Linked DNA regions of Callithrix jacchus. Each later gene encodes a partner of the first gene's protein in a complex. Links are inferred from orthologs where the notes say so. Each region holds a gene or a part of one and is shown on either strand. Other genes may lie near its edges.

Region 1 (9,638 bases):
AACCAAGAGAAGTGTTAACCAATACTACACGGTCAGAACCATCCAGAGCTGCTCGCTCAATTTTCGGAATTTCTCCCCAGTCAGTCCAATACATGTACCTATGGAAGTATACAAAGAATGAGCTAAAAATAGACAATAAAATATAACTTTCAGATATTCTAAAGGTGAGATCCACTCCTCCTATTACACTGGTATCATCAGTTAATGCCATAGAAAGGAAAAAAAAAAACATATGAAGAGTGTGTTTAAGACATTTATCACAGCAGTATATAAGATTGTAGGAAATTTTCACATCAAACAGCATGTTTTAGAGCCAATCCTGAAAATGCCTCCCAATAATGAGATTCCAGTTTTACCTTTTTTTTTTTTTTTTTTAAACATTTTTGTGCCCTTTTCCATGAACTTTCTCTCTTCCTTCACGGCTTGTCACTTCTGGTACAAAAGGATTATCCCAGCAATATCAATCAGACGGCAAACAGAATTACAAAAATAACCATTTCTTCCTGCAGTGCTAAGTGATTCTTATGGCTCCTGGATGTTTAAGTGGCTCTAAGACATTGATATATACTGAGGTATAATTTGTCACTATGCTCGTCCTCAGAATATCACAGTAACAATAAAACTGTTGGGTATGTAAGAAGTGGTACTTCCCTAGACTATATAGTCAGGGTGGCATGGCAAAACGAAACAACAAGAAGCTAGGAGTAAAGCTGCATGGCCGGACAAAGTTCTGGAATTCAAGTCATTCACGTATTTAGGGAAACATAAAGTAAGCTATATTCTTACTATAAAATACTTAAAATGGAATTGAAGCTTCCAGGGAAAGGGAAAGAGTTCTGAAAACAATTTCTTTCCACATTTTTCATGGTAATGATGCAATATGAGCAAAATCTGCAGACAACACCCAAAGTCAGCAAACATGGACTTAATTTAGAAAGAAAAAATACCTAAAACATCCAAGGCAAAAAACTAGCAATTTTTTTAACTTGAGATTGTATTCTAATTACCTGTTTATTAGAAACCAATATATGTTATGTTATTTCAGTCAATGTTTTTAGGAACCTGTGAAAAATTGAAATACCACACAGAATTTACTATCAGTAGAGCTTCTTACCCAACCATGGGATCTAACACAATAGCCCGGGGTTCTTCTAAGTCCTCTGAAATCAAGATCTTCCTCATGGTCCCATTGAGCCTTGTCACTTCTATTCGATCAGTGCCAGTGTCTGTCCAATAAAGATTTCGTGCAATCCAGTCCACAGCAACACCATCAGGATGGGCAATTTGAGCAGTGACCACAAACTGACTGCCAGACCCATCTAAGAATGAACGGCGTATGGCCCTCACTTCATCATCAGTCCAGTAGATGTAGCCTTCCACAGGATCGTAATCTACGGCGATGGCATGACGGATGTCTTCCAACTGCAGAACAATGTCTGTAAAATCTGGTGTATCCAACGAAATGCGTCTCAAGTCTGTCCTTCGAGCTAAAAGCAGTAATTCAGTGGCACCTAGAAAAACAAAGCGAAACGAAAAACAGTTTGAAACCCGGAGGTAAAATTTATCTGCTCTAAAGAATCAACTGAAAAATAAATATAAAATATATATTAATTACATAAATTAACATAAAAGGATATGAGCTCTCTTTAGAGTGGAGCTGGAAGGTAATACAGTGAAATAGGGAGAGTCTACTCTGAGGGCAAGCTGTTTAACAACTATGTCTTCAAATCAAGTTGTGTCACACTCTATGGTTTCATTGATTCTACAGCTTCTGGAATTAATCCAGCTAGTTAAAAGTACAATGAATAATGACTATGTAATGACTAAGTAGCTGAGTGTTAAAGGAGAAAGAGATGGAGGATACAGAGTCTTTGTTCAAGAAGCATTTTTTTTAAAAAAGATAAAGAAATCTAGGACAAGAACCTTTGTGGTTGATAGCAATGTTCTAAAATTGGATTGTGGTGATAACTGCATAAGTCTGTAAATTTACTTTAAAAATCACTGAATTTTACACTTAAAAAAATGGACGGATTTTTATATGGTAAGTTATATCTCAATAAAGCTGTCTTAACAAAGAGAAATATAAGGCAGTACCTCACAGAATTGAGAACAAAGCAAGCTATGGAGAAGTAAACAGTAGCAACGGAGGGAAGAAACCAGATAAACATAACACAGTGGTTAACAGTAAGAGTTGCAGATCCAATATAATCTGATTCAAGTAGCTACACAAACTTTGGGAAAATATCTAATCTCTCTAGGCTTAGTTTTCTCATCTATACCTCGTAAGGTTGCTGTAAGGGTTAAAGGAGATAAATATATAACTCAGGAAGGTACTGAACATGGAAGTACTCAAGAAACATTAACAATACTTACTAATAGTGCTAAAAAATAAAGCACTGAATTTAAAATTAGATTTATTTATGAAATGTTTTAAGCCCAAGCCCCAAATATTCAACCACATAACTGAGAATGAGGATATTGAGCTCAATCTTTTTTCATTTTAAATGTTAAACCACCAACAAAAAATTATCTTACTATAAGAAGCTAATAAAAGACGGTAAGCAAATTGACAGCTGAAAGGGCAAGAAAAGATTCCCAGCTAAACGAATGAGTCCAAAACAGAATGCTGGCATATAAGCTTCAAGCGTCTATCTAGAATTACAGGTTAAAAGACGGAGAAAAGGAGTGAAGGCTCTCAATATCGGCTTTTTCACTCTAGAGTTAATTATAAATGAATTCCAACCTGGAGAAAATACAGCCCAAATGCGATAGCAGGAACCAAGCAGGAATAACTGCACAATTCACTGCTCCAGCTAACAACCAAAAGGCGCCAGCCCAGAACTTCACAAAGAAGTCATAGAGCTGTTAATTTGAGCAAGGTGATCAAAACAGAACAGTTAAACTTAAGGCTATTACATGCCAAATGCACACATGAAATTCAAAACTGGTTAAACACGTACACTTGCACTGCTGTGAGGGAGTAGATAGACCCATTATTGCTCAAATAAATCCTCTGTTTATGTAGTCAGGCTACATTTTTAAAGAAAAAAGCAACATTACAAAAACCTTTTGTTTTAAATTGAAACCAAATTGTTGTCTGCCATGGAAACCATTTGACAGGAGTCAGCCAGCTTCACCTTTTACTATAAGGATAATTTATCAATGCCAAGTCATAACAAATATCCTGTACACAGACTCAATTCCATCTCTCTGACTCCCTGGCCCCCTTGCCAGGGACTCTAACACACTCCAAAGTACAGGCTTCTGCTTTTCAGGTTAGATAAAGAAGCCATGGCTAAATATAACAATTTTCTTACCAGGTCTTGCTGGTTGCTAGAGAACAAGATGGTGATCCATAGGGATGAGAATGAATAACATTCTCATTAAGAAGAAAAACAGAAGAACTGGTGTTCTTCCAAACCAGAAGTCCCTTGAAATGTCCTAAATCAGTATACTTTCTCCAACATGCCCTCTCTCTATAGGGAATTAAGAGTAAGGAGAAGAGGCAGTGTGTTTCTTAAGTATAAAAAGAAGTTGTTTAAAACAGTACAATATGTATTTTTTTCTTCTTCTGAAAGCATCTCTATTGTTAAAAAGCAATTTAAAATATCCTTAAATCATTTGTTAGAAAATGTATCTCATATTCTTTGTAACTAAAAGTTTAATAAACATATTTCCTTTCAGAGATGTTCTTTATTTACAAATGCTACCTGTTAAAAATATATTCTTTATGAGAAGTAACACTCATTTCTATAGTTATCAATTTTGGTATCGATAACTATGAGATTTGACAGAAAAGATAGAGCATGTCATTTTTTTCAAAAATGTTACTTACAACACGAAAATAATGTATAAAATAGCATTCAAATGATGTCATAGAATAAAACACTCCTATAACCATGTGTGAAGATTGTGAGATTAAGTGACTGGTCTCCCAAAGCACTATAACCTAGACAGCCAATTATAGAAAAAACAAATAATGAGGAATTCCAATAGTTTTAAAACTTTTCATTTTAGATAATGTCTTACCATCTTTGCAAGTTTTTCCATTCTCCAGGAGTTTGACCCCAGTGGGGCAAGCACACTGATAAAAAGGTTTGACTGGAGACATCAAACACAAATGGGAACAACCACCATTGTCAATTGCACATAGATTTGTAGCTGTCAAATATAAATCACATTGATTAATACCAATGATTACTAAGTACACAAAGGTTAACAACCATAACATGAACAACTGTGATAAGCCAAAATTATTACCAAATGTCATGCAGGTGCTTAACTACCAAACCATTGCAAGGAAAGGAAATAATCAGTGTAAATTTACTAAGTATTTTGTATCCAAAGAATATAAAAGAAGTAAAACAGGAAATCCCTGCCCTAAAAGAGGTTATAATTTAGTCCATTAAACAAAATTAACAACAAAAAAAGAAAAACTAAAACAAATAGAAATCAAAAAAACTAAGTGTTATTTTACACATTATAGACAACAAGTACAGAGTCAAATGGGAAAAAAAAAAACCCTGAGGTTTAAAGAATTGAAGAACTTTGTGGAGGATCTAGCACAGGAGCCTTTAAGGATAATTATATCCACTTTGTGGAAGGATAGGTAAGAGGACATTTCAAGTGTGGTAAAGCTATCTGAATAAAACCTTGGGGGCCATAAACGAGTTAAGATAATAAGATCAACAGTATAACTGGAGGTTACGGTTTCTATTGACTAATAGAAACTAAAGCTGAATGAGTATGAAGAATGGGAACAGACTGAGGTGAAGGACACTGAAAGCCAAGAAAAGTAATTATGTTAACAAGTCATGCTTTGGGAAGATTAACATAGAAGGAATAAGCAGAAAAGTGGGGAAATAAAAAGCAGAGAAAACTAATTAGCAAAATTAGAAATTATGAAAAGGGACATGTCCAAACAATACTCATAGAAAAAAAATCAACAGAAGATGGAGAGCAATGGAACATGAAAGATAAAAGTAATCAATATGAAAGATAACTGTAAATTCTCAAATTACTAAAACATAAAGGACCAACAGTGCCATTTAAAAAGAAAAACAACGCCTGTAATCCCAGCACTGTGGGAGGCTGAGGCGGGTGGATCACGAGGTCAGGAGATCGAGACCATCCTGGTCAACATGGTGAAACCCCATCTCTACTAAAAATACAAAAAATTAGCTGGGCATGGTGGCGCGTGCCTGTAATCCCAGCTACTCCGGAGGCTGAGGCAGGAAAATTGCCTGAACCCAGGAGGCGGAGGTTGCGGTGAGCCGAGATCGCGCCATTGCACTCCAGCCTGGGTAACAAGAGCAAAACTCCGTCTCAAAAAAAAAAAAAAAAAAAAAAAAGAAAAGAAAAACAGGAGGCCAGGCACGGTGGCTTATGACTATAATCCCAGCACTTTGGGAGGATAAGATGGATGGATAATTTGAGTCCAGGAGCTTGAGACCAGCCTGAACAACATGGAGAGATGAGATCCTGCGTCTATAAAAAGTACTAAAATTAGGCCAGGTGCAGTGGCTCATACCTATAATCCCAGCACTTTGGGAGGCCAAGGTGGGCAAATCACCTGAGGTCAGGATATCGACACCAGCATATCGAGAAACCTTGTCTCTCCTAAAAATACAAAAAATTAGACAGGCGTGGTGGCACATGCCTGTAATCCCAGCTACTCAGGAAACTGAGGTAGAAGAATCACCAGCCTGGGCAACAAGAATGGAAGTCCATCTCAAAAAAAAAAAAAACTAAACTAAAATTAGCCAGGTATGGTGGTGGCAGCATATGCCTATAGTCCCAGCTACTTGGGAGGTTGAGGTGGGAAGATCGATTGAGCCTGGAAGTTCGAGGCTGCAGTTAGCTGTAATCACATCAACACACAACAGAGCAAGACTCCATCTCAAAAAAACAAACAAAAAACAGGGAAAATTCTTTTGAGGGCTATAGAGAATAAAAAAATTCATATGAGTGACTGAACGTTTTCTTTTGTACAGAACAGTAACACATACATTTAAAAACATTTTTATGGGCTCATGATCATTGGATTCCAACATAACACTTTCAATATTTGATTATCTCCACCTAAATGAAAAGAGCTAATATAAAGCAACACATGGTACAAACACTCTTCATTTTTGGCTATGGAATAAAATCTGAAATACACTCAGACACATGCCAGACATTTATTTACACACAAGTGCCAAACCCTTAACATTCTCATTTTCCTTTAAACCTAATTCCAGTCCTCTCTTACAAGTTGTCAGCAGTCATAGTCCAAGTCATTGTAAAGGCTGACCAAAAATAGAACCAAAACTAAGGAAAACAAGGTGGGAAGGCTGCACAGAAAAGTTTAAGTAGGTGTTTTATTTAGCAAGCTGAGGTACTTATATTCAAATAAATTCTAGATTAACAGAGTTTTCATTTAAAAAAAAGAGGGTTTTCTTTCCCCTGAGACAGAATTTCATTCTTGTTGCCCAGGCTCAAGCGCAATGGCATGATCTCGGCTCACTGCAACCTCTGCCTCCTGGGTTCAAACAATTCTCCAGCCTCAGCCTCCCAAGTAGCTGGGATTACAAGCATGTGCCACCAAGCCCAGCTAATATTTTTGATATTTTAGTAGAGACGAAGTTGCACCATGTTGGGCAGGCTGGTCTCAAACTCCTGACCTCAAATGATCCACCAGGCTTGGCCTCCCAAAGTGCTAAGATTACAGGTGTGAGCCACTGCGCCTGGCCCAAGAGTTTGTTTTTTAAACATAGTCACATGAACACACTCAACCACAATTTTTGAAAGAAATAATAGGAATAAAAAATTCATTTGTGTATAAGCCTAGCATATAAGCTATCTCAATTTTTAAATTATCTCTCTCGTCTCTACCTCTATAACTGCTGACCCAAGAAAAGTGCTGAGGGGGTCTGCAGTGACAGGCTACAAACGGCCTAGGCTACTATCTAACCGGAATTATATTTTCACATTTTTCCTTTTATTATTGAGACAGAGTCTCACTCTGTTGCCAAGGTTGGAGTGCATGGCACAATCTCGAGTAACTGCAATCTCCACTTCCCGTGTTCAAGTGATTCTCCTGCCTTAGCCTCCCAAGTAGCTGGGACTATAGGTACACACCACCACACCCTGCTAATTTTTTTTAGTAGAGTCAGGGTTTCGCCATGTTGGCCAGGCTTGCCTCAAACTCCTGACCTCATGTGATCCGTCTGCTTTGGCCTCCCAAAGTGCTGAGATTTTAACTCTTTTTTGTTCCCACCAACTACCTTTGGATATGCCCTCCCTCCTCCTGATCCTCACTAAAGCCAGACATTAGAGTGCTACAAAGCTGTTCCAAATTGCAATTTAAAAATCAAGGATCACTTACCATTTGGCTGCCTCTGTTGGCTGAAGACATGTATATCCATGGGCGAGAAGATGTTAGAATGGATTTCATGCAGACCCTCACCAGTATACTTGTTGCAAGCCAAAATGGAGTGTGTGTTCCAGTCAGTCCAGTACAATGTGTCCTCAAATAACGTCAAGGCAAAAGGATGTGGAAGGGAACCTTTAACCACTGCCTGCCTATTAACACAAAGAAAAATTCAAACTTACTTCTAAATTTTCTTCTTCTATCATAACGTCACCTCTCTCATTAAAGTAATCTTAGACTTGAGATTGTGCCACTGCACTCCAACCTTGGCAACAGAGTGACACTCTGTCTCATTAACACATACAAATCTTGAGTAACACATACCTTTAGGTCTAATATACCTATAAAAAGTAATTCACATGATGAATTCATGTAAGTTTTTTAAGGTGTCCAAAAACCCCCAAACAAGTACTTCGAAATGGCCCCTAACTTGGCAGCAGGCTCAAGTTCAGTATAAGATACCCGGCAGAGAGACAGCACTGCTTTTTCACTGTCTGCACTGCTGTCAAATCCTACCCTTCAACTACCATCTCTGGACTCAAAGCATCCATCCTTTCACTTAATTCATGTTATCAGACTGAGAAGGGTAAGTAATGAGAAAAATCACAGGGGTTACAGTTGGCACTGAAGTAGATTTATATAAGCAATAGGTTGCTTTTCTTCTTGATACAGAAGAACAAAGAATCTGAGCCCGTTTTGCCCATCCCTTCTTATGGTTTTGATAACTGAGAATGAAACATAAACATGAGGCCAAAATGGCATGCAGGTAGCACTCTCCCTGCAAACCCCAGTCTAGCTCCAGCAAATAATCATCTTAGCTGGCTTTTCACTATATTCAGGCGGCCAAAAAGAAGTCCTGCCACTGGCAGAATATGTGCAGGAGATAAAGCAGAACCAACATTTTCACAAGCAATACATACTGTTTAAAAGCAAAAGTAGACAGTCTGGTTAGTACTTAAGGCACAGAACTTTGTAGAGTATCAGAGACAGTTACGGAATAAGCAAATGCTCTGGAATAATGACCAAATCACGATTTGAGTCAAATTTAACATTCAAGAAAATACATGCTTTGATCTTTTCATAAATCCATTTTCCAATAGCCCACCCAGAAGGCAGAGATGGGCAGAGGAAGAGGAGGAAGGGAAAGAAAAACGAAGGGAAAGGGGAAAGGAAAACATAAGCTACTGAAGAGAAATCAAAAGTATCATATGTCTTAAGGAAGATGATTCAATTTTCAGGTCCTTGAGGTTAACTGATGATTTCTATTATCTAACAGACTACCAATATATTAAATCAAAAGCAATTCAGATCATTTTTATGTGCAAGCAGAATTAGCATCTGTGATTGCCCATGGAACAGTCTTAGTCTAAAGCATTATATATTCAGGCAAGATACCTGTACTCCCAACCCACATCACTAGTTTTCTCATTTTCCTTAATCCTCTCTTCCCTAAGTAAAAAGACTACTATTCTCTCTCATTTCCCAAAGAGAACTGCCACAATGCCTACTCCTGAAGTTCTTTCTTCCACTTTTTAAATGGACAGTTTTATTAAGTTTACTAAGGAGACTATATTCTTTACAGGGTGTCAGCACAGTTCACATTCAATTTTAAACAGACCTGTATATTTCACACTAAAGTCTTCTAAAATTCATGGTAAGACACGGAGAGACAACTGAGGAAGCTGCCAAAAAAGACAAGTAACACAAATGAAAAATAAAGAGTAGTTAAAACTAAGTTACTTCGCACTTCAACTATCTTAAAAAACTGCTCTGAAAAACTCAAGGGGGGAAAAAGCCTTAAAAGGGTTCTTAGTATACCATTAAATGAAAAGTTAAAATTCACTCTACTGAACTAAATAGGAAAATAATCATATGGAAAAGGCAAAATTCCCAAAAGCTATGTTCATTTTATATATTAATTGAACGTATAACATTAGAAATCAGAGATGAGCTTAAATCCCCACTTGACACTTACTACTGAAACCACTTCTGCAAGTTCTATTTCTTCATCTGTTAATGGAAGGTAATAATTTATTCTCACTGAGTCACTGTGAAGATTGAATAACATATGCAAAAGCCACTTGGCACTATGCTTGGTACTTAACACTTTCATTAATGATTCCTCAATTTTAAGACAGGCATTTTCAATATTTCAACATTTCTGATATAAGGGTAACATTTTACAATGTGAACATTTCATGTAGTAGTTTTTAAAATCAGCAAG
Region 2 (10,348 bases), on another chromosome or scaffold:
TGTAGTCTTAGATTAGTGATGTGATTGACTGTTTCTAAGCTGTCGACCCTTACACTTAATATATAAAGGCCCACATATGTACATACACTTTTGTACAAATATCGGATGCTTAAATTATGAAATTATTTTCTTCTTTAACGTATAGATAATGTATTTATTTTACATTTTGATATTGTCCTCAGAATAGTATTTTAGAAGTTATGAACATTGCAGTGGAAGACATTTTATAAGCCTAATGGTAGTTTTGTCTATTTTTCTTTAAGACTATGAAAGAAAGTCAGTAGTATGATAAAGTTTGATAATGTCACCAATTTAAAAACAAAGGGCCAGACTCATTCCTATCAATAGATGAAACAAAGTTTGAAATATTCAACTCTTCTAGCAAAACAAGAAAAGGAAGTGGTGAGAAAAGGCTTGTGATTTTATTTAACAATTATTTCAAAATCAAAATAATTAGAACAAGTCTAGCTTTAATTGAATGCCAGAGATTACTGTTCAATGTGAAATTGTTAGGATAAGCCTGTCTTTCCCTTTTTCTCCTTTGATACAGTTTAGCGAGAGCTTAATCATCACTTGGTCAGTGATAAGCAGGCATCTTGACATTTTGCCCATACCAGACTTTGAGTAGCTACAGAAAGCATGCATTTTGGACTTTGCTTCAACTATTAGTCATCCTACAACTATATTGGCACACAAACAAAAACTCTATACTCATGACACATTATTTGTTAGATCAAAAACTCTGGAAACAACTTAAATGTCACTGGTTAAAACAATTATGGTATTGCCATTCCAACATATTACGAACTTAATGTAACCTTTAAAAAGAATGAGTCACCTCTCTATGTATTATAGAAAATGATCTGCAAGACACATAAAGTAAAAAAACGAAGGTGCGGGGAAGTGTGTAGAGTATACTAACATTTGACATAAAAATACCTTGTGAAATTTTCCCAGGTGCATGTATTTTCCATTAAAATGCATTGTTTAAAAGTCACACAGCAACAACAGCATTGTAAACAATCATTACACAAATTGTTCTAGATTCCTTAAATAATCCTCTTTTGAATTTGCATTTTATCGGATTCCCATCTTCTAGCCTCCATTACTAGCTAGTAGAATATCTACAATTTTCTTGATATTTTCCACCTTAATAAATATGAAGAATTCTTTTTAATGAAAACCTTTTCCTAACTTCTCAGCTGGAATGGAAGAAGAGGCATCCCTCTTTGATTGGTTTTGTATTCCTCTACACATCTGTCATCTGGAGATGAGAAGCAAGAAGGGCTATCACGAGGGTCAATGTACTGAGGTCCCTTCCTGTAGAATGGAAGGGATCCAATAACTACAGCCCTTTAAAAGTTTGCTTTTTTCCCCACTTAAGCAGAAGGCTCTTCTTTCTTCTTTTTGAAGAAAAAGTTTCCTGTTTCCTTTCCTTGATTGTGCTTTATTGGAGATGGCAGGCCTTAGAATTGGCCTTCCTGGCACTTCAGAAAACAAGCACATGCAGAAAAAGAAAGTTTCTCCTGGGTGAGGAAGCTGAGACTTCCAGACAAAAGGAATGTAACAGCAGACATCCTGCCAGTTCCTCTCTCAGTGAAGAACCAACCAAAGCTTGTGTCCCATTGGTTGAGCCCCTTGAAATTGAACCACTTCCAGGAACACAAAAACAACAAACAGTCTAGGACATCTGCATTAGTTAAGGAAATATTTGCACAATTGATCAGTCACTACTATCCTTTGCTTGCCTGAAACACAGCATTTTGTGGTTTGGGCACAGACTTTAGAATACTACAGAAAAAGTATACATTGGGAAGTTTGCTTTCCCTTTTCCTCAGCATAAACAATATGAAATTCAGCAAGTAAAAATGCAAAGACAATTTAGATTTCATTCCTGTGGGTTTTCTTTTAAATGCTGTATCCCTATCCTCATTCCAATCAGTAGATTTCAGGCTAAACAATACTTGAAATATTAAACTCACCTAGCAAGAGCAAAAAAGAGTGGAATAAGGAAGGATTTGTAATTTTTAATTAATAATTATTTTAAAACCAAAGTAAGAACAAGTTTCCTTTGCATGTAGTAGTACTTAAAATACTTCAAATTAATTTGTTTGATATAAAATCTGCATGTATTTGTTAACTGTATTTATGGGCAGGCATCCTGTTCCCAACAACCTCCAAGTACTTTGAGGTATTATTTTTGTGGACAATTTTCTTCCTTTTCCAAAAATATTGACCGTTTAGGTAGGTATTATTAATTTATTGGAAACTATTTTTGAAAGCAGTAATGTAAGATTCACTCTCATTCTACTATGATCGTTTGAGTTTATCAACGCAGATTACATCTTTCTTTAAAGTTATTCTAGAACTGATCAGTATTTTCTTATATTTAGACACTGTCTTTTCTCTAATTATCTTTAAACATGTCACACTTCTGTTCCCGTAGAACACACACACACACACACACACACACACACCCCCCTAAGATCACAATCCCAAAATATGTCTACTTATAACATTTCATATTACATGTTAAATTTTATTTCAGAAACTATCACAGTCTAAAGAGAAATATAATTTAAGCATTAAGATAGTACATTTCAGAAAATATGCTAGTATTTTCTTGTTAAATTTTAGATACTATCATTTGTCATTCCAAGAGATCCTTGCATTCTAGACTCTAGAATTAAAAGGGGGAAAAGGTTATGCTTTTAAGAACTATAAGCTGAAATGATTTATTTCAATTCAATATAGAATATTTGTCAGTCAAGATATCAATCAATGTGTACAAAAATTTACATAACAGAAGGAATAATGGGCAGTGCAGCACCTTTAGAAAAATAATTAAAAGTTTTGTTGCATTTACAGGTAAGTGCCACACTGAGAATTTACAATACAGTAATTTACTGCAATCACAGGGGAGTTCCATAAAGAAACAAAGCTCTTACACTCCAGATTTTTGAAAGGTGTTATTGGAATGCTTAACTGAAACCACAGAACTTGTATATCCGTAGGATTGAGTTGATGAAGGTCGTGAAAGATTTTCGTATCATCTATTATATAAAAGGAGTTCACTGCACTTGGATAGCCGATTTAGTGTCTCTGACAAGTGTGAAGCCTAGAAGAATTACTGGCTTGATGGTGATCTTTCTGATTCCGGCAAGACAGACCTTCTCCGCAGTAACAGCGTTGGAATATTTCCAGCCCATGGGAGCCTTTTCGTCTGTGTTTGGTACACACTTGACCTTCTTTGAGGACAGGTTTACAGATCTTGGACCAGAAGTGTCTAGCACAACACAATCCTGTGGCGCAGTCTGACGATCGGAGACAGACAGAACCTTCTTGTCCTACACAGGAGAAGACAGCAGAAAAAAAGTACACAGTTACTGGTAAACCTGCATCATTTCATTAAATAATTCAAAAGACACCTCTGATGTGCTAAAAATGAGTCTTAACATCTTACCTTTGGTGTGATACATTTTTGAAGACAATGTAGTTCTTCTAGAATATCCATCCAAGGTGCTATGATCATTACCAAAGCTTTCAGTGATGGTTTCCTCAATTTCCTCTCGGAAATGAGTTTGCTCAGAAGACACACATATTCCTAAGGAAGCAGGAAATAGTGATTAACTTCAGGGTTGTAATGCATTACTGCTAACAGCTCTGACAGTGGCAGTCTGCTATGCCAGCACCAACTTGAGATACTTCGTTGCAGTGACATCATTTTAAAAACAAGCCGAACTTCCTCTCTACTGTTAAGGCAAAGCTCTCCAGATGGACAGAAGCACCAATGTGTACACTGTATCCAGTCAGTCATATGTTACATACCTAGTATAGCCGTTCAAAATACTTTCCCACCAACTGTGGTAGGGGCAAGTGAGATTTATGCCCATTTTAATATTACCCTTGGGTTAAGAAATAGAAAATCAGTCACTTAAAAAATGTTCTTAAAAATAACTTCTCTCCCCCTGGTGCTATGTGGGTACTGCCAGACTAAGTTAAGCAAATGCAATTCCAGCTGCCTGGAACATTGCAGTCTCACCCACCAGTTACTTTACTGTGTAATTTCTATATTACAGAGATTCAGTTAGCTCATCCCGGAGTACTGCTGGGTCCTAAGGAGGGCCGTCGCCCTGTTAGTTTATTTCGGGAGACCTCTTTAGCTGTTTAAATCCACCTCTTTGAAAAACTAAGAGTCAGTGGATCTGTGGTTGGGGGAAGAGTACCTATACTAAGGCAGCAGAGGGGAGAGGGAGGGGGAAGGATGGAGAGGTCAGGCTGTGCGCCTATCAAGATCTCTCTTGAAAACGGCCAATGCTGATAAATCACTGTCCTCTGGCCGACAACAGTTTCACCAAGGATCAGAAGGAGAGGCCAGTCTGGCAGAGCTGTGAGAGACAGAGTAAGAAAAATGGAAAGGGCAGCTGAACGCCAAAGCTGGTTTCTTTGGTCTCTCTGTATGATCCAGCCGTCCTACCCATCACCCCTCTTCTCAATTGACCTCAAGGTTCTCCCCAGACACATTTTTATGGAAGCGTCCACTACGAGGTAAGCCATTGTGTTAAATCATTGAGGGACCCAGAGGAAGATAAGGACCTCAGAGACCTCCGAACTTCTCTCTCCTTCCCGATCAAACACTTGCAATGAAGAAGATAACTTCAGCTGAATCTTGACTGCTGTACACCCATTAGCAGGTGGCGCCGCAGTGTTCTCAGGGCGGAGATTCCCCGCGCCTCCCCCCTCCCCCCCACCAACCCCATTTATAGAGGCTCAAAGGCCGGGCAGTTTTCGTGTGAAAGGGAGCTTTCAGAACTCACCATTTTTGCAGAAATTCCCGGGGCAGCACATAGCGTGACGCATGCAGCGTTTTCGGCGCTTCCTGCAGGCGAGACAGATTTGCACGCCCGCGTCCCCTCCGCGGGTGGGACTAGCGCAGTACTCATCGGTGGCGCACTCCTCGTCCTCTCCGCACGGGTATGGCTGTGGGAAGGGTTCGGGGAGAGGGTGAGGCATCCAGACGTTCAGGTACCCTCACTAGTGGACCTGATCACAGTCCCTATCTGTCCCCCTCTCCAGGACCTGTTACCATCCACGGCTCCCAAATGCAGTGTTACCAAATGCTCGCTGAAACGCACACACTCATCACGTTCTACTCCCTCCTCTCCAGATACGACCCTTTCAAGGTCACAGCATCCCCGGATTCCCCGACGCCTCTCACCTGGTAGTTGTCAATGGTCTGGTACTTATTCCCGCCAGGGTACAGAATTCCCGGCGCGGCGCTGACTGCAGAGCCCGAGTGCCCCGCAGCGCCGCCCAGCGGTGGGGGCAGGTTCTTGATGGCGTTGGAATTGAGAACCGAGTTCAAGGTGGCGCTCGCTCCCAGCAGAGGGTGGCCGCCGAGAGCCGCCGCTACCAGCGCAACCAAGACCCGGGCAGCTCCCGCTGCGCCCAGAGCCATCATCTCAGAAGGACTCAAGAGGGAGAAAGAGAAAATGACTGTCACTTTGCAAGCCTGGGTCCCCGCGAAACCGTGTCGGTGCGGCTGCACAGTCAGGGTTCCGGGAGCCCCCTGCGGTCCCAGAGTCCCGACTGCAGGGAGCACAGAGCTCTGAGCCGCCACCGCCACCGCGGCTGCCTTTATACCGCCGGCCCGGAGCATTCCGGCCCCTTGGGAGCGAGACAACAAAGCCGGGATGGGATTTCAAAGCGCTGGGAGGGGCTGGGAGGGGGTGTGTTTGTGTACATGAAGGGGGGGCTTTGACACTCTTCACCCACCGCCCTTGCTGGGTCGCTCGGCCCGCCCGGCTCACCTTCGGGGTGAGGGCGACCAGCGAGCATCAGAGCAGACGACTTTAATAAATGCAGGCGGCAGGAGGAACTCTGAGAACAGGGGTGCCCTTGCCTGGCGGTAAGGGTTGGATTATCCGGATCTGAAATACTTTTCAGAGCCGAGGGGGTGACACGCTCTGCAAAAGCACTTTTCGCCCCTCTCGCTTACGCCAACACTCGCTGACTGTGCACACAAGTCGTATTCAGTATTAAATACAAACCGATCTGTAATTCAGTGGCTCTAGCAAGACGCCTCTTTGCTCATTACTCATTAACCCTTTAAGAGTCGCAGCTTGTAGATCTGAGTTAGGTCCCTGGCTTTAAGGTCGTTCCGTTGCCCTCCTCCTCCCTCCCCCCGCCACTGCGATAAAAATGTGCAAAGAGGAGATTTGCACATCAAACGAGGGTAAGAAGGAAGAGGAGCTGATTCTCTTTTGATGGGAAGTTTAGAGAGGGAGGCGAGAGACTGGCGTTTAGAAATTAGATCAAGGTTGGAGTGGAGAGGGAAATGCCCGTCCGATAATCAAACTATTTAATGTTGTTCTTTGAATCAGGGCAGTCGCGGCAGTAGATGAACTTGATTAGGCAGACGAGTGAGATCAAAGTGGCCGGGGCCAAAGCGGACGGGGTCCAACGTGCCGGGTCAGTCGCCTTTCTCGGGTTCTGCCTTCTCAGTGGTGGGCTAATGCGGGGAGATAAGAAACCCTTAGGGCTTAGATCCCGACTTCCTCATTAGCAAACGGTTTCACAAGGCTTCCCAACGCAGTGTTTGCTCCCAAGTCAAACCTTGCACAGGACCACGCAATACACCTTCTAGGGAGATAAACTACGTGGAGGAGGAGAGCTGAAAGTGAATTAGACAGTGAATCTGACGTCATTGAAATTGCTGTGTAGATAGAATAAAGTAAGGCTGATATATAAGAATGGCATCATGCTTATAAATGGAAAGTCATCTATTTAATTCAACAAAAACACATTGGAAGCCTAGAGCCCTGGTACTGGGTGGCCCTCTGGGTTGTTGCCTCATTGTTTTAATGTTTAGGTGAGATGGGTGGTGGGGGAAAGGGCACAGTGAATACTAATATTTATGAGACAGAGTTCTCATTTTAGAGAATAAAGTTCTCTTTATTCTAATTACAGTAATAAAAGATGTAACAATAAAATTATAGAAATAAATATAAAAAATGTACATAATGCTTTTAAAGCAGGTTGATACTATAAGTGTCAGAAAATAAGCAACTGTTCTGTGAGTTTGGAAAAGGGAGATATGATTTAATAATCACTATTGAATAAAAAAGAGTAAGATATATTTGTTCCGTGCTCCTCTAAGCTGTATAGATTTAGGTTGTCTATAATGCTGACCTACTAAAGTCAGAACTGGGGCCACTACCAAGTAAAGCCAGTGAAGGTGTTAAAGTAACGAAATTCTCAACTTTAGTACGGGAAGGAGTAATTAAAACACAATTTGCCATGGTCTGTGTTGTAGTTCCTTTGGTCTCAAAGGTAATATTAAGAACATCATCTAAACAATTCTTGAATGGTGCCCTAGTTATACTGGCATCCCTCCCATCCCAAATTCCATCTGTCCAGGAAATTATCCTGTCAGGAATCAATGCGTTAAACACCTTCAGGGTACTAGAAAATCTGCAAGCTGTGTTAAGTTTGAATGATGTTGAAATGCAGAGAAAAATCCCCCTGCCAATTGCAAGGTTGAAAATGTTTCTTTTTAATCCTATTACCTGTTTAAATATTTAGAATCTAGAAATATATTTGTGCCCCACTTACGGCCAAACTCTTGCCTTTTTTACTGAAGAGATAGTACATGATTAATACATTTAATGAACTTAGTTCATTAAAAGCTTGGCTTCACAAAAAAATCCATTTCCTGGGGCAAAAGAAAAGAGTGGAACAATTTAATTAACAAAAGAATTCTGTTATAACAAAGAGGCCCGTTGCATAAATTCAACCTTGATCTCTGAACATAGGTCATAGGTCTATTATGTTTCAATATTCATTGAATCTGGACAGAATCGGTGGTATTGAGTTAGGAGAGCTAAACCAAGCACAGAGTTTCAAGAGTGGGCCAGCTTCTGCCTTCTTCATCTTTCACATTCCTGAAGTTGTCATGAATTTAATACGAAGAATGAGTTGGTCAATATCTGAGTTCGTACTTTGTGCTAAGTATTATACATAATCGAGTGATAAAAGATGAATTCTCATATAATCTGCCTTCAGATCATATAGTGGGCAGAAGAGAGGTAACCTCACAAAATATTCAGGTAAGAAATTATATGGGTGTTCCTCAGAGAGGGCTAAGAACACAGTAAACCAACCCTTTGTTCCAAATGGGGAAATATACTTTTTGAGTGGATTCTCCATTTGAAAATCCTTTCCAGGATGTGGTTTGCTCACTGGCAACAAGAGTGCAAGGTAGGTAAAGAGGTACAGTAAACCTCATTGTTTCATCAGCAGCTGGTTAATATTCAGTGAGTACCTGTTATTGGGAGCATATCTCAAAATATGAAAGGCAGATCTCTTGTCCTCAGAAAGCTTTCAGTCTGTGAGTAGTTGGGAAAACACAGTATACTTATATGGGGATGGAGGTAAACATTTTTCTAACATTGATTATATTTTGGCACATTCTTGGTCATGGGGAAATAAGAAAAAGGAGCAGGAACTGTGACCAACACCTGTCAGGAAAGAGAGAGAGAGTTCTGGTGATCGAGTCTTTCTTACAGCTGGGTGACAGAGGAGGCGGGCACCAGGGCAGGTGAATTTAGTTTATTAAACTGAGTTTATTTAGTCCTGTAGGGAACCCTGCCTCCTATTTGATTTGGTATAAATATGATCATAATTAATGCAACAAGTTTAATATTTTGTATTATATTTTTAAATAGGTGAAATATGCTTAACAGCGTGGAATTGAACCTCATAACTCAGGAACAGCATAATAACATATGTCTTCTTTATATTTTAAGTGCTGGATGCCAGGCATAGAATATTCCTCAACCTTTTCATCCATGAGGGAGACAGACAAATATACTCCAAAACACACCATGCTATTCACCGTTTTTCCATTTCTGTTATTTGTGACTGCTTAATTTTCTAATTTTATATATTTTTTTGAGACAGGATCTCCTTCTGTTGCTCAGGCTGGAGCACAGTGGGACAATCACAGCTAACTGCAGTCTTGACCTCCCAGGCTCAAGGAATTCTTCCACTTCACCCCCTCATCCCCCTACCCCATCCCACAGTAGCTGGGACTACAGTTAAATGCCACCGCACCTGGCTAATTTTTAACTTTTTTTGTAGAAACGGGGTCTCAATTTGTTACCAGGCAGAGCTGGTCTTAAACTCTTGGGTACAAGCAGTCCTCCCACCTTGGTTTTCCTAAATTGCTGGAATTACAGGCATGAGTCATGGTGCCCAGTCTATGGCTGTATTTTGAATTCCCTCCTTTCTTTTTTACTACCTTTCCTATCTTACTTCTTTCCTACCTTACTTCTTTCCTTCTTTCTCTTGATTAAATCAAAAGAAGCAAATTTGTTGCTGTATAATTTTACTCTGCTTAGGAAAATACTACCTAAATATCATTCCTTATAGTGGGTGTTAACATTTTTGCTAGTGTCAATCTTGTATTTATAGCAGGATTCCTCCTTCCTGATGTTTTGTAAAAAATGCTGTGACTTTCTCATTGACTTTTAAAACAGTTTGGTCTTAATGTTCTTCATAATGTTAAAAGAACTTTTTGACCTGTGTTCCATGTTAACTCCCCTGAGAGCTGGATTTTCTGCACTCCTCAGTACAAACAGAAGGCAAGATTTGGCCGTGATTACGTTTATTCGAGCAGTGGAGATGGCCAGCCCAGATAAGTCAGGCCCCGTGGTAGCTTCCTAATCAAGTTCAGAAGATGTGTTTTACTGGAGCAGGACATTAAAAGCTAAGAGTCTGGAACCCAGAAACATTTAATTAAAACCCAGTGAAGATGGTGCCTAAACCAGATAGGTATCTGCCTACATCTTTTCTGAGGTCCTCACACTCAGAAAGGGCTGCAGTGTGTGGGTATGGGGAGCGCAATAGCCCCTTTGAGTCCCCTAAAGGATTTAACATCTCCAACCCTAAGGATAGGCCCGTGTCTGCAGAAAGCAGGATGTAGGGTCCCATGAAACAGTCTCCACATTTACAGAAACACAGTTTTCCTCCATGTCACTGGGTTCCTATTATTACCTCCTTAAAAGAGGTAATAAACTCTGGGCACAAGCGATCCTCCCACCTTGGTCTCCTAAACTGCTGGGATTACAGGCGTGAGCCACCGCTCCCAGTCTCCTGCTGTACTTTGCAGCTTTTCTCCCAGACTACGGCCAAGAAAGACGTCATGCCAAGGGGTCAGGAGGCTGGGGATGGAACTCTGTACAGTGGGTGCCAGCCGTTATCTGGCTCCTAAATATGGGAAAGCCATTTAACTTGTGGTGTGGTGCTGGCTCTTCTTTATAAAATGGGATGTAGGGGAGATGGAGAG
Region 3 (10,380 bases), on another chromosome or scaffold:
CCTGCCCTCATATTCCAAGGCCTGAGACACTCATGAAGCATGGAATTTCTGCAGGTGCTCACTGAGGCATCCTCAGGGGCTGGAGCCACAGGAAGGAGCTGGCCACTGATACCCACTCATACCTATCAAAGACTTGATAATGATGATGAATTCAAGCAGCTTACTGGGAGTTAAACTGACAAGTCATCAGGAGGGACCTCAGCTTTCTTTGGGGAGTGGGTTCCCCAAGATAGGCTGGGATTAATTTAAAGCTTTCCAGCTGACCAGCCCATCTTAGGGCAACTGAAGGGTCACATTGAAGTTACTCTTTATCTGACGATGCTAACTCAGCTAGCATCCAGCATTATTAGACACCCTGGAGAGGTGAGACTTTGAGAGAAGTACAGGACGTTGGCCCTGCTTTTGAAGATCCTACATTTTCACCCGGGAGGCATAAAATCCACACTTGGAACTAAGACGAAACTCCCTTTGAGCTGGTCCTGAATTGTACTTGGCTTCCTGTTATCTATGCCTCTACTAAGCAGGGCTTGGCCAGGCTGGTCCTCCATGAATGATTGTCAAATGGAAAACAGAATTGGGAACCAGAGTAGTGGTGTGGACAAAAGGGGCTGGAACCTCGGAGGAGAGAGGATCGTGGGAGATGGACTACTCTGCAACATGGGGGGAAGAGGTGACAACATGAATCCTAAAGAAAGGGGATTAGTTATTGGGGTGCTCAGTGTAGATGGCAAACTTAGGAAGCAGGGACCTGCACGACCATTTGGAGTTGGTAGGAAGCTTGGCAGAGTAGGAGGTGGGAGTCAAGCAGGAACGGCCTCCCATGTCAGACTGGGAAACCCGCACCTGATCCTGGGCAAGGGAGAGCTATTGAAGGCTCTTGAGCAGGGGAGTGATACAATGAGAACAGCATTTTTGGAAGCCAGCATGGAGGGCAGGCTGTAAAAGGAGACAAGGCTGAGGTTATGACAATGCCCTGGGTGAAGAAATGAGGTCTGGGTTTGTAAAGGAAGGGACAAACATGACTTTTCAAAGGAAGACATAATTGCCACAAGGGCCACCAGAGAGCCGTCAAAGCTGTGTCCAAGGCTTGAGCCCTAGTGACCGACAGAAGGGTGTCAACTTTGACATAAATGGTATCGCGTGTGGTCAACAAAATGAGACCACATCGTTCGGTCATGATTCATTGCCTTTATTAACAATGTCTCTGGACTGGAAGAACAGACTGTTATTTCATAAGCAATATTAACATTGCCATTCTCTGCAAGAAAAACTTTTGCATAAATAACTTAAGTGAGAAAATAAATATGTAACTTAACTCTTTAAAAACCACGACTTTCATTCTTGTGGACAAGTCCCACGTGGAAGGATTGTAAGAAACGACCAGTCCTGCAGGCTTTCGTATGGCATCTGCTTCTGTTTAAAACATTTTTTTAAAAAAAACAAAAACTACATGGAAAGTAAGAGGTTGTCTGGAAATGATTTTAAAAAAGATTTTTGGGTGGCAGCTATTACGCTCTGCAGCCACTCAGCATATGTACAGCACTTGTGATCTTTCTCCCCATAATATTCTTTTAGTGTAAGAAATGCTATCACATGTAAGAGGAGGAAGAAGCTGTTTTCTAGGCAGAAATGTGTCTGTGAGCGGTGGGCAGAAGGTGGCTGGTCTGGGAGTGTGTGGTGGCTGCTCTCTCGGGCCTGCTAGACTAGTGTTGTGGGACCTTGAACTTCTCTTCGGAGGTGACTTTAAGAAATGGCTGTGGGTCGGGGCAGGGATGCTGCTCTTTGGGAAGTCGGTGAGGGATGTGGTTTCTATCCCTCCCACCACCTTCAGGACCCTCTCCTTCTCTGCCCCAGTGGATGATGTTATTCCTTTGAGATGGAGGGGTGGAGATAGCCAAACATCTGGGAGGCCAGGCTGGGAAGCAACTTAGCTTCTTCCAGGGGTTTGTCAGCCAGAAATATGTCAGCCAGAAATAGACTCTTTACTCTTTCTTTTTCCTGTTTGTTTCTCATCTTTGGCTGTCAGATGAGAGCATCACAACTCAGAATTCTGGAAGTGACATTGGCATTGAGTCAATGCAACCTCATTCATGTATTCTCTCTCTCTCTCTCTCATCTCTGCCCATTCAAAAGGCACTGGAGTGCTTGGAACCATACACCAGTAGAATCCTCGAGATCCTAAACCCACCTCCACCCTCATTTTACAAAGTGGAAATTGAGGTCCTGAAAGAGAATTGTGGAGTTCAAGGTCACACAGCAAGTTAGTGGCAGAGACAGGACTAGAAACCACATCTACAGATGCCCCTAGTCTTGTGCTCTGGGCAGCCACAGGCTTTCTGATGGGCAGTGAGGTGCAGGGGGAATCTTATCCAACTTTCTTAACCGGTCCCTGGACTTGTCACACTCCCACACGGCTCCCTTAAACCCCCAGGGCTGTGAAAACACTTCCATTTCTGCCTCCTCTGAAGTGGGACCAGCAAAGGTAGGCGACCCCGGAGGCGGGGCGGCGTGGCTCAGTGTCTGTGACTCTCAACTCCCTCCCCTATCACCACCGGCTGAGGTGAGCCTTGCTGGTGCCCGGGATGCTGCAGGGCCTGGAAGGTCTGGGCCCCCTGCCCTGGGTTGCAGGCATTTACAATGAAATATAAACAATCGAACCACGCGTGGAGGACAGAAATATGGGGCGCAGGGCCGGGGCGCCTGCCGCGGGGTGGGGTGTGGGTGGACTCTAGTAGGCGTTCTCCAGCTCAGCCTGGTTGGCTTTGGCGCCCCGGGCGCGGGGGCGCGGCTTCCGGCCCTTCTGCGGCCTCGCTGCCTCGGGCCCGAAGTCCTTGAGCTCCGACTGGTTGTGGAAGCGGGTGAGGCGCTTGCACTTGCACGAGGCCACCAGGCGCACCTTGCGCGCGCGTGGGGCCGCACCGCCGGGACACAGCAGCTGCACGCGCTGTGCGCGGTAGCGGTCGGGGATGCAGCGAAAGTCAGGCCCGCTCGGGCGCCACCATTTGCCACGTCCGATGGCGTTGGGCAGCAGGCGCGCGGGGCCGCACTGGCCGGAGCACACCAGCTCGGTGACCGGCTTGGCGCTGCGGCACGGCCCGTCGGTCACGTAGCGGGTGAAGTGCAGCTCGCGGCAGCTGTACTCGGACACGTCTGCGGAGAGAGACACGCGTGAGGGTGGCCGCCCACGCGGCCACCACAGCTCTGGCCCGTCCTGGCCCCCTCCACCCCAGCCCTGCTTTTGCAAAGCCCGCCTCTCCCGGTCTCCAGAGGTTTTTGCCCCTGAACACCTATTGCAGGAAGGTCCCAGATCCTCTAGAGCTGGTGGAAAGCTCTCCTGCGCACCCTGTCTCCTCAGAGCCAAATGGCTGCTGGGGTGCAAACACCAGGGCTATCGCTCACTGCAGGTGGCATCTTGGGCAAGTTCCTTAACCTCTCTCTTCCAGTCTGTAAAATGGGCTGCCCCAAGCATTGTGAGTTAATCCATTAGGCACGCAATGCAGAGAATGCCATTTGGCACACACAGCTGGAAGCATCAGCTGTTATTATGTATTATTATTATTTCTCTCCTACGGGTCCTCTTATGATTTAAGCCACACTTATGCCGCAGGGACCCTGGCCTGGGCAGGGTAAGTAAGTACTCGCCACACCTTCTGCCTGGCTCTGGCTTTTCCCAAATTCCTTTCCCAGCCACTTGGGGGGAGGTGAACAGGAGATGAAGAAAGGAGTAGAGGTTAATTGAAGGTAATAAATCAGGGCAGCTGCTGTGGAGGTGACAGAAGGGGAGGTGATCAGGATAGGAATTCATTAGACTTGAAAGGAATCAAAGGCACAGTGTCCAACCCTCTCGTTATCAGTAAGAATACTGAGGCCCAGCCACAGAAAAGAACGTGCCCAAAAGACAGGGCTGTGTGATCCAGACTTCACTTCCTGGGGTCGCAGCACCTTTTGGCTCCCATAAGAGTGGAGGCTGTGCGTTCGAGCACTGGTGGGAGGCTGGGCTGGGGGACAGAGCTGAGGGCTGCTTTTTGCTCTAGTAGAGGCCTCAACTCTGACCAAAACCTACAGGTGCAGCAGCCACATACATTCACCCAGCTGTCTGCTGGGCACATTTCTTGTTCTGTGTTATTTGAATGGGCACCTCATGGTGATACTCCCTGGGCGGGCGGAGATTGGGTTTGGAGGAATGGCCTGATCCCCTGAGAACACCTTGACCATGTCTCCTACTGTGGACTTGGGTGGGAGCTTTTTAAATAGCTGGTCCTTGTGTGAGTACCAGTCCACCCCCAGAGGTTTCATGGGGATAGTTCCGATGTGACATGAAAGAATCAAAAATAGTCTTCAGACCAAACCAGAGAGGGGGCAGAGAAGGCCACTCCCACCCTACCCCCACTCTGAAGAGCAAGCACAGCAGGGGAGATGTGGCCACTGCCATCGTCTGGGGTTGCTTTCTGGTTTGCACCCTCACCTTTGTAGGGCTGGGATGTGTACTGGGGGGGCCTTTGCCCAGGGAAGGGGGCATTTTGGGGCTTTCCAAGAATAGTGCCCTTAGGTCAGTCACTTCCTCTGCAGATTGTGACTTTGTTTTGAGCATGTGGCTTCCTCGGGGCCGTGGCGCCTCAGGGAAGCCCAGCAAGGTGGACAGCTTGTGTTTGGGTTCCCTACAGCCCTTCAGGCAGTCACTGGAGGCCAGCTGACCTTGCCTAGAAGGGGGGCTGTGGGAGGAGGCACCTTTGCCCTCCATTTCAAAGGCACAGGGTCCTGGCTGGCCTCCCCTGTGGTGGCCCTTTTTAGCACCCCATAACCCCAACATGTTGTGAGGCAGAGAAGGCTGGGGTGCAGGAGCCTGGGCAGTGGGCTTCTCTGCCACCTGGATAATGGCCAGAGGGCAGTGAAGCCCTTGGTCTGAAGTGTCACTCCTGTCCCCACCCACAGCCCCGTGATTCCTGCCAACCGTAGAAGCAAATGTGCACACTGTCAACTGGGCTTCTCTGTGCAGGCCTGACAGGAACCTGTCAGGGTTCTCCTTTCCTTCTCCCTCCCCTGGAATGAGGCAAGGCTGGGACTGGGCTGGCCACTGAGGACAGATGTGCCTACTCCGGCACAGAGGATGCTGTGTGCCCTCTAGGACCTGGACACTGCTGCACCCATGTCAGGGGCTAAACCTGTGCCGACAATGCCCATTCCTTCAAATGCCAGCTCCCTGGGCAGGCCATGGGCAATGCACACTGCAGGGGTGCCTCTCTGGCCTTCCTCCCCACTGCTTTGTGGGGATCTGTCCCCAGCACACCTGCACACCAGGGCTGTCTTGCAGTTGAATCAAACCAAGTTCTTCTCCTCACTACCAAGTTACTGAGTGCCTGGAACCTGTTTCTTTCCCTTTGAGCTGGGGGTTCACCTCCTGGGATTCCTGTGTGGTGGGGACAGCCACAGGCAGCATAGAGTGTCTGGCACCCCACAGTTGCTGCTCTGTGGATGGGAGGCTCCCTCACCTTGTTCCCTCCCCAATGGTACCAGCAGTTGAACGTGGTTCCTATATTCCCAGGAGGAGATTCTTTGAAACCTTTTCTTTTTTGAGCCCCTGAGCCTGTTCTGATGCCCTGATGCCATACCCTCACCACCCCAGCCTCCTCCCTGCCCTGGACTCTCACTGACAGACTCCACCTGGCCTCATGCCCCTGCACCTGAATTCAAAGGCTGCACCAGAGCCATCCTTCCCCCGCCTCCAGTCAAAACTGTTCTTCCACCAGTGCTGGCAGAGGCCAGCAGTCTTCACTGGGTCTACCCCAGTCTTCAAAGCCTCCCAAAGAGAAGTTTCTAAAACCTCCCCAGGACCCTTTTACTAGGAATTCTCTCCTCCACCCCATACCTTTGGTCTCAAAAGGGTGGTGGGGAGGCCGCCCTCCGTTCTCCGCCCGGTTCATGGTCTTGTTGTTCTCCAGCTCTGGTGGAGGCTCGGGGTACTCTCCCAGCTCAGGGATGATTTCCGTGGCATCGTTCTTGAAGGCCTGCCACCCCTGGGCCTCCACCACACAGAAGGCTGCGTGCACCAGCAGGCAGATGAGACATAGGGCTAGAGGGAGCTGCATGGTGCCAGCCAGAGGAGGGCACGCAGCCTTCCAGTAGCACAGGCTCTGGTCCCCAGCCGAGACACGGTTGCCTTTTTAAAGCCCCCCTCTGCCTCATGCCAGCCAATGAGGACAGGCTGGGGCAGGGCTGGTCCCCTGTTTCCCTCAGCCCCGGGGGGAGGGAAAGGGGTGTGCTCAGGGCAAACCCTCCCTAAAGACTTCTCCTCTAGCTCAGCAAACTTCCAAATTGCTGCTGGCACTCCCAGGTGACCCAGAGAGAGGGGGCGTGTGAGGCTTGGCCCAAGCCTGCTCTCCAGCACCTCCCACGTGCTGGTGGCTGTGGTTTTCAGATATCAAAATGAGCTCCGGCTTTTAATTGTCCCTGGGCCCTCAGGCATTCTCAAAACAAGCCAAGTTCATTTGCCACCCCACCAACAAATGGCCCACAGGGTGTCTGTTTGACCCCCATAGACCCAGCCAGAGGCAGAAAGATGCTTTTTAAGAAATCCCATTGGTCCCAACTCCACAAGTCTCAGCACTGACTGTCCTGACCAAGGAAGCCTCTCTCTTGGCATTTTCTGGAAGGCAAGAGAGAGAACTAGAGGGCCAGAGCAAGGGTGGCCACTTGGGAGAGGGGACAGGACTCTGGTTACGAGTGGAGGATGTGCTGGTCACTCAGGCTCCCGTGATGTGGCTCACAGAGGAAATCCCAGCTCACGCTCCTCAGGGATCCTGTGCACCGCGACAGGCATGACAGGCACTTCCAAGCCAGGACCCTCACTGTGGCTCACAGGGGGATGGGCTGAAGACAGTCATTTCCCAGCCAGGCTGTGGGTGCGAGCAGATAACACCAAATTCCTTTCCTTAGCAAAAGCTATGGCCAGCATTTTTTAGTGCTGACATTTTTTTTTCTCGCCTTCCATCCGGTTACATTTTTCAAAAACAGTTTCTGGTCCTATATGGGAATCTTCATTGGTGCATACCACAGGTTGTGTTCCATGAAGCCACCCCAGGACCAACCAGTCACAAAGCAGCTAAGAGAAACTTGGCTCTGCATAGGATGAGGGGCACAGGACCCGGGGGCAGGTAGAGGCAGTGGGGAGAAAGGTTCACGCCTGAGGTGCAAGAATAGAAAGGAGGGCAGGAGGAAGCTTTCATTGAAGACAGATTCTTTGAGGATGAGCAGCTCCTGGGAAGAGGCTGCCCAGATCCTCCTGGTATTTTAACTGGGCAATGAATGAATCAGTACGCCCCACCTGCAGAGCCTCTGCAAGGCCTTTGCCACCTGCCTCAACTTGCAAGTGGCTGTGTCCATCTGCAGCTGACTGTTGTCCTTTCCATCATCCATCACCTGACACATGAATGCAGCTGCTCTGACAGTTTTACAAGCCAGACAGAAGCCCCCTCAGGAAGGGCCCTCTCTGATACCTGCTTCCTAAGTCAGTTTCCTTCAGGGCAAATGAAAACAGCTGTGGCCATTGTTGGGGGTGATCTATCTCTCCCAGCAGAGCCGATAGTGTTGTGAGAAGCTGGCCCTCCACACCCCCTCTCCTTGTCTGTGACCCTCCAGCCTCCTTTTCCCTTGCTCTGGAATGTGGACTGTTAACCCTCTCGTGGCCAGACAACTGCCTTCTTGCAATGGACTTGCGAGAGAGCAGTTCTGATGCCTGGGTTCCTTGAGCAGACAGGATGGATGCTTAGAGCCCCACCTGCTGTTGGGAGCGGCTGGACCATCTGCAGAGACAGCAGGATCCATCCCTGGAACATGTCTGCCACCTGCTGGAGACAAAAGGAAGGACGATTCTTCAGTCGCAAGGATGGTAAGGCTCAGGACTGGGCATGATTTCCTTTCCTTATTTTATTTGGAAGTGAACTAATATTAAATGAAAAAAAGAAGACTCCAGTGGACTTGAACCTCTAAATGACCTCCATCCCTCTGAATGGCTCAGCAAGAACCTGCTATGATATCTTGTGCCATTTTGTTTAATGCGAAGTCATCCACAGCCGTTTAGTTATACTCAGTCCACAGACTTGGCATTGTTCACAGTATTCCCTGGAATTATTTAGCTCATTCCTACTGTGAGTAGTTTAGGTTATTTCCAATTTTTTCCTATTCTCAGCAAGGCTACTATGAACATCTTTGTATGGTTTATTTATTTTTTGAGACAGTCTCGCTCTGTCACCTACACTGGGGTGCAATGGGACAATCTCAGCTCACTGCAACCTCCACCTCCTGGGCTCAAGGATTCTCTTGCCTTAGCTTCCCAAGCAGCTGAGACTGCAGGAGTGTGCCACCACACCCAGCTACTTTTTGTACTTTTAGTAGAGACACGGTTTTGCCATTTTGGCTAGGCTGCTCTTGAACTGCTGACTTCAGATCCATCTGCCTCTGCCTCGCAAAGTGCTGGGATTACAGGCGTGAGCCACCGCACCCAGCCTCAGAGTAATTTTTTTAATTAAAATTTTAAATTTGAATATAATTGTAAGCTTAAATATACTTGTAAGAAATAAATACAAGCCTGGGCAACATGATGAGACCTAATCTCTACAAAAAATTTAAAAATTAGCTTGGCATGGGGTCACACACCTGTGGTCTCAGCTACTCAGGAGGCTGAGGTGGGAGGATCACTTGAGGTTGAGGTTGAGGTTGAGGCTGCAGTGAGCCACAATTGTGACACTGCACCCCAGCCTGGATAACAGAGTGAGACCCTGTCTCAAAAAAAGAAAGAAAGAAAAAAAAGAAAGAAAGAAAGAAAGAAAGAAAGAAAGAAAGAAAGAGAGAGAGAGAGAGAGAGAGAGAGAGAAAGAAAGAAAGAAAGAAAGAAAGAAAGAAAGAAAGAAAGAAAGGAAGGAAGGAAGGAAGGAAGAAAGAAAGAGAAAGAAAGAATACAGACTCCATGTATTCTTTATCCAGTTTCCCGCAACAATAACACCTTGCGAAACTACAGGACAATATCACAACTAGGATATTGACATTGACACAATTAGCCAATCTTATCCACATCTCCCACAGTGTTACCTGTACTCTGTGTGTGCACAACTATTCATGTGTGTGTATACTTAGTTCTTATGCAATCTTGTCACGTGTAAATTTGGGGATCCACCAAGATAAACCACAGCTCTGTGACCACAGGTTTTTCTCCCGTTACCCACCTCCCTCCCACATCTAACCCCTGGCAACTACTATTCTAATCTCCATTTCTGTCTTTTTTTTTTTTTTCACTTCAAAACTGATACCTAAATGCACCCGGGCACAGTGGCTCACGCCTATAATCCCAGCACTTTGGGAGACTGAGGCAGGTGAATCACTTGAGGTCAGGAGTTCAAGACCAGCCTGGCCAACATGGCAAAACCCTGTCTCTACTAAAAATACAAAAATTAGCTTGGTGTGGTGGTGCGCACCTGTAGTCCCAGCTACTTAGGAAGCTAACGCAAGAGAATCAGTTGAACCTGGGAGGTAGAGGTTGCAGTGAGCTGAAATTGAGCCACCGCACTCTAGCCTGTGTGACAGAGTGAGACTGTTAAAAAAAAAAAAGTTATATAAATGGAATAAATTTGTATGTAGCCTTAGGGGATTTTTTTTCACTCAGCATAATTTCCTGGAGGGTTATCCAAGTTGTACATATCAGTAACATGTTCCTTTTTTCCCTTTTTTTGGCTGAGTAGTATTCCACAAAGTAAAACAAAAAAACTTTAGAGTTATTTCTCAAAGTGAATGCTGTGTCTGAGGGAGTGAAAAGTTGGTGGGTCTGATGAGGGTATTGCAGGGCTGTTTTCCAGAAAACTCAGCCAGGTCCCCGCCCTCGCCCACAACACAGAGGCCCCCATAGGTGGCACTTTGCTGAGGCTGCCGTCAGTCAGTACCACACACGGGGCGGGATCAGCAACAGAAGCTGTCGCAGAGCTGGAGTTTAGGAGTGTGAGTTCAAGATGCAGAGTTGGTTCCTTTGAGGATGTGAGGAAGGCCTTGCCCTTGCCTTCTGCTGGCTGCTGAGGAGCTTTGGCATTCACTGGCTTGCAGAAGAGTCAGCCCCAGTCTCTGCCTTCATCTTCAGATGGCATCCTCTCTGTATTTGAATTTTCCCCTTTTTCTAAGGACGCCAGGCAGATTAAGCCCAGCCTAATGACCTCATCTTAACGAAACACATCTGTAACAGCCCTGTTTCCAAATAAAGTCACATTCTCAGGTACTGCGGCTTACAACTTCAATATATGCATTTGAGAGAAATTCAGTTCAACACATAAATCAGACTGTTGATACTGGGTTGGGGCTGTTGATTTTTTTTTTTTTTTAACAAAGTCTCATTCTGTCACC

Evidence for each region.
Region 2: the proteins of LRP6 (region 1) and DKK1 are in contact, whole or in part, in a crystal structure (PDB 3S8V), measured with the Homo sapiens proteins. The link is inferred for Callithrix jacchus from reciprocal best matches to the Homo sapiens genes LRP6 and DKK1. Residues at the interface, in NP_001401174.1 of Homo sapiens: Arg639, Glu663, Ser665, Ile681, Tyr706, Glu708, Thr724, Arg751, Trp767, Gly768, Gly769, Pro771, Val790, Gly791, Arg792, Asp811, Thr812, Asn813, Leu814, Pro833, His834, Phe836, Trp850, Ser851, Tyr875, Met877, Arg1184; in NP_036374.1 of Homo sapiens: Glu185, His204, Phe205, Trp206, Ile209, Gln218, Val219, Thr221, Arg224, Arg225, Ser228, Gly230, Leu231, Glu232, Ile233, Phe234, Arg236, Ser258, Leu260.
Region 3: the proteins of LRP6 (region 1) and SOST are in contact, whole or in part, in a crystal structure (PDB 6L6R), measured with the Homo sapiens proteins. The link is inferred for Callithrix jacchus from reciprocal best matches to the Homo sapiens genes LRP6 and SOST. Residues at the interface, in NP_001401174.1 of Homo sapiens: Arg28, Asp52, Val70, Ser71, Glu73, Leu95, Ser96, Asp98, Glu115, Arg141, Trp157, Trp183, Asn185, Ala201, His226, Phe228, Trp242, Met269, Arg336, His361, Asp379, His404, Asp406, Thr422, Glu447, Arg449, Trp465, Trp491, Asn493, His534; in NP_079513.1 of Homo sapiens: Leu115, Pro116, Asn117, Ala118, Ile119, Gly120, Arg121, Arg169, Thr171, Arg172, His174, Asn175, Gln176, Ser177.

The regions. Positions count from the first base shown.
Region 1 is NC_133510.1:11,101,636-11,111,273, reverse strand, and holds part of LRP6 (low-density lipoprotein receptor-related protein 6), read right to left. Parts: intron 7,567-9,638; coding exon 7,370-7,566; intron 4,162-7,369; coding exon 4,030-4,161; intron 1,512-4,029; coding exon 1,115-1,511; intron 99-1,114; coding exon 1-98. UniProt on the Homo sapiens protein: Component of the Wnt-Fzd-LRP5-LRP6 complex that triggers beta-catenin signaling through inducing aggregation of receptor-ligand complexes into ribosome-sized signalosomes.
Region 2 is NC_133513.1:77,882,353-77,892,700, forward strand, and holds DKK1 (dickkopf-related protein 1 precursor), read right to left. Parts: upstream 5,642-10,348; 5' UTR 5,462-5,641; coding exon 5,219-5,461; intron 4,981-5,218; coding exon 4,818-4,980; intron 3,605-4,817; coding exon 3,464-3,604; intron 3,348-3,463; coding exon 3,094-3,347; 3' UTR 2,247-3,093; downstream 1-2,246. UniProt on the Homo sapiens protein: Antagonizes canonical Wnt signaling by inhibiting LRP5/6 interaction with Wnt and by forming a ternary complex with the transmembrane protein KREMEN that promotes internalization of LRP5/6.
Region 3 is NC_133506.1:70,623,897-70,634,276, forward strand, and holds SOST (sclerostin), read right to left. Parts: upstream 6,134-10,380; 5' UTR 6,087-6,133; coding exon 5,867-6,086; intron 3,151-5,866; coding exon 2,729-3,150; 3' UTR 1,989-2,728; downstream 1-1,988. UniProt on the Homo sapiens protein: Negative regulator of bone growth that acts through inhibition of Wnt signaling and bone formation.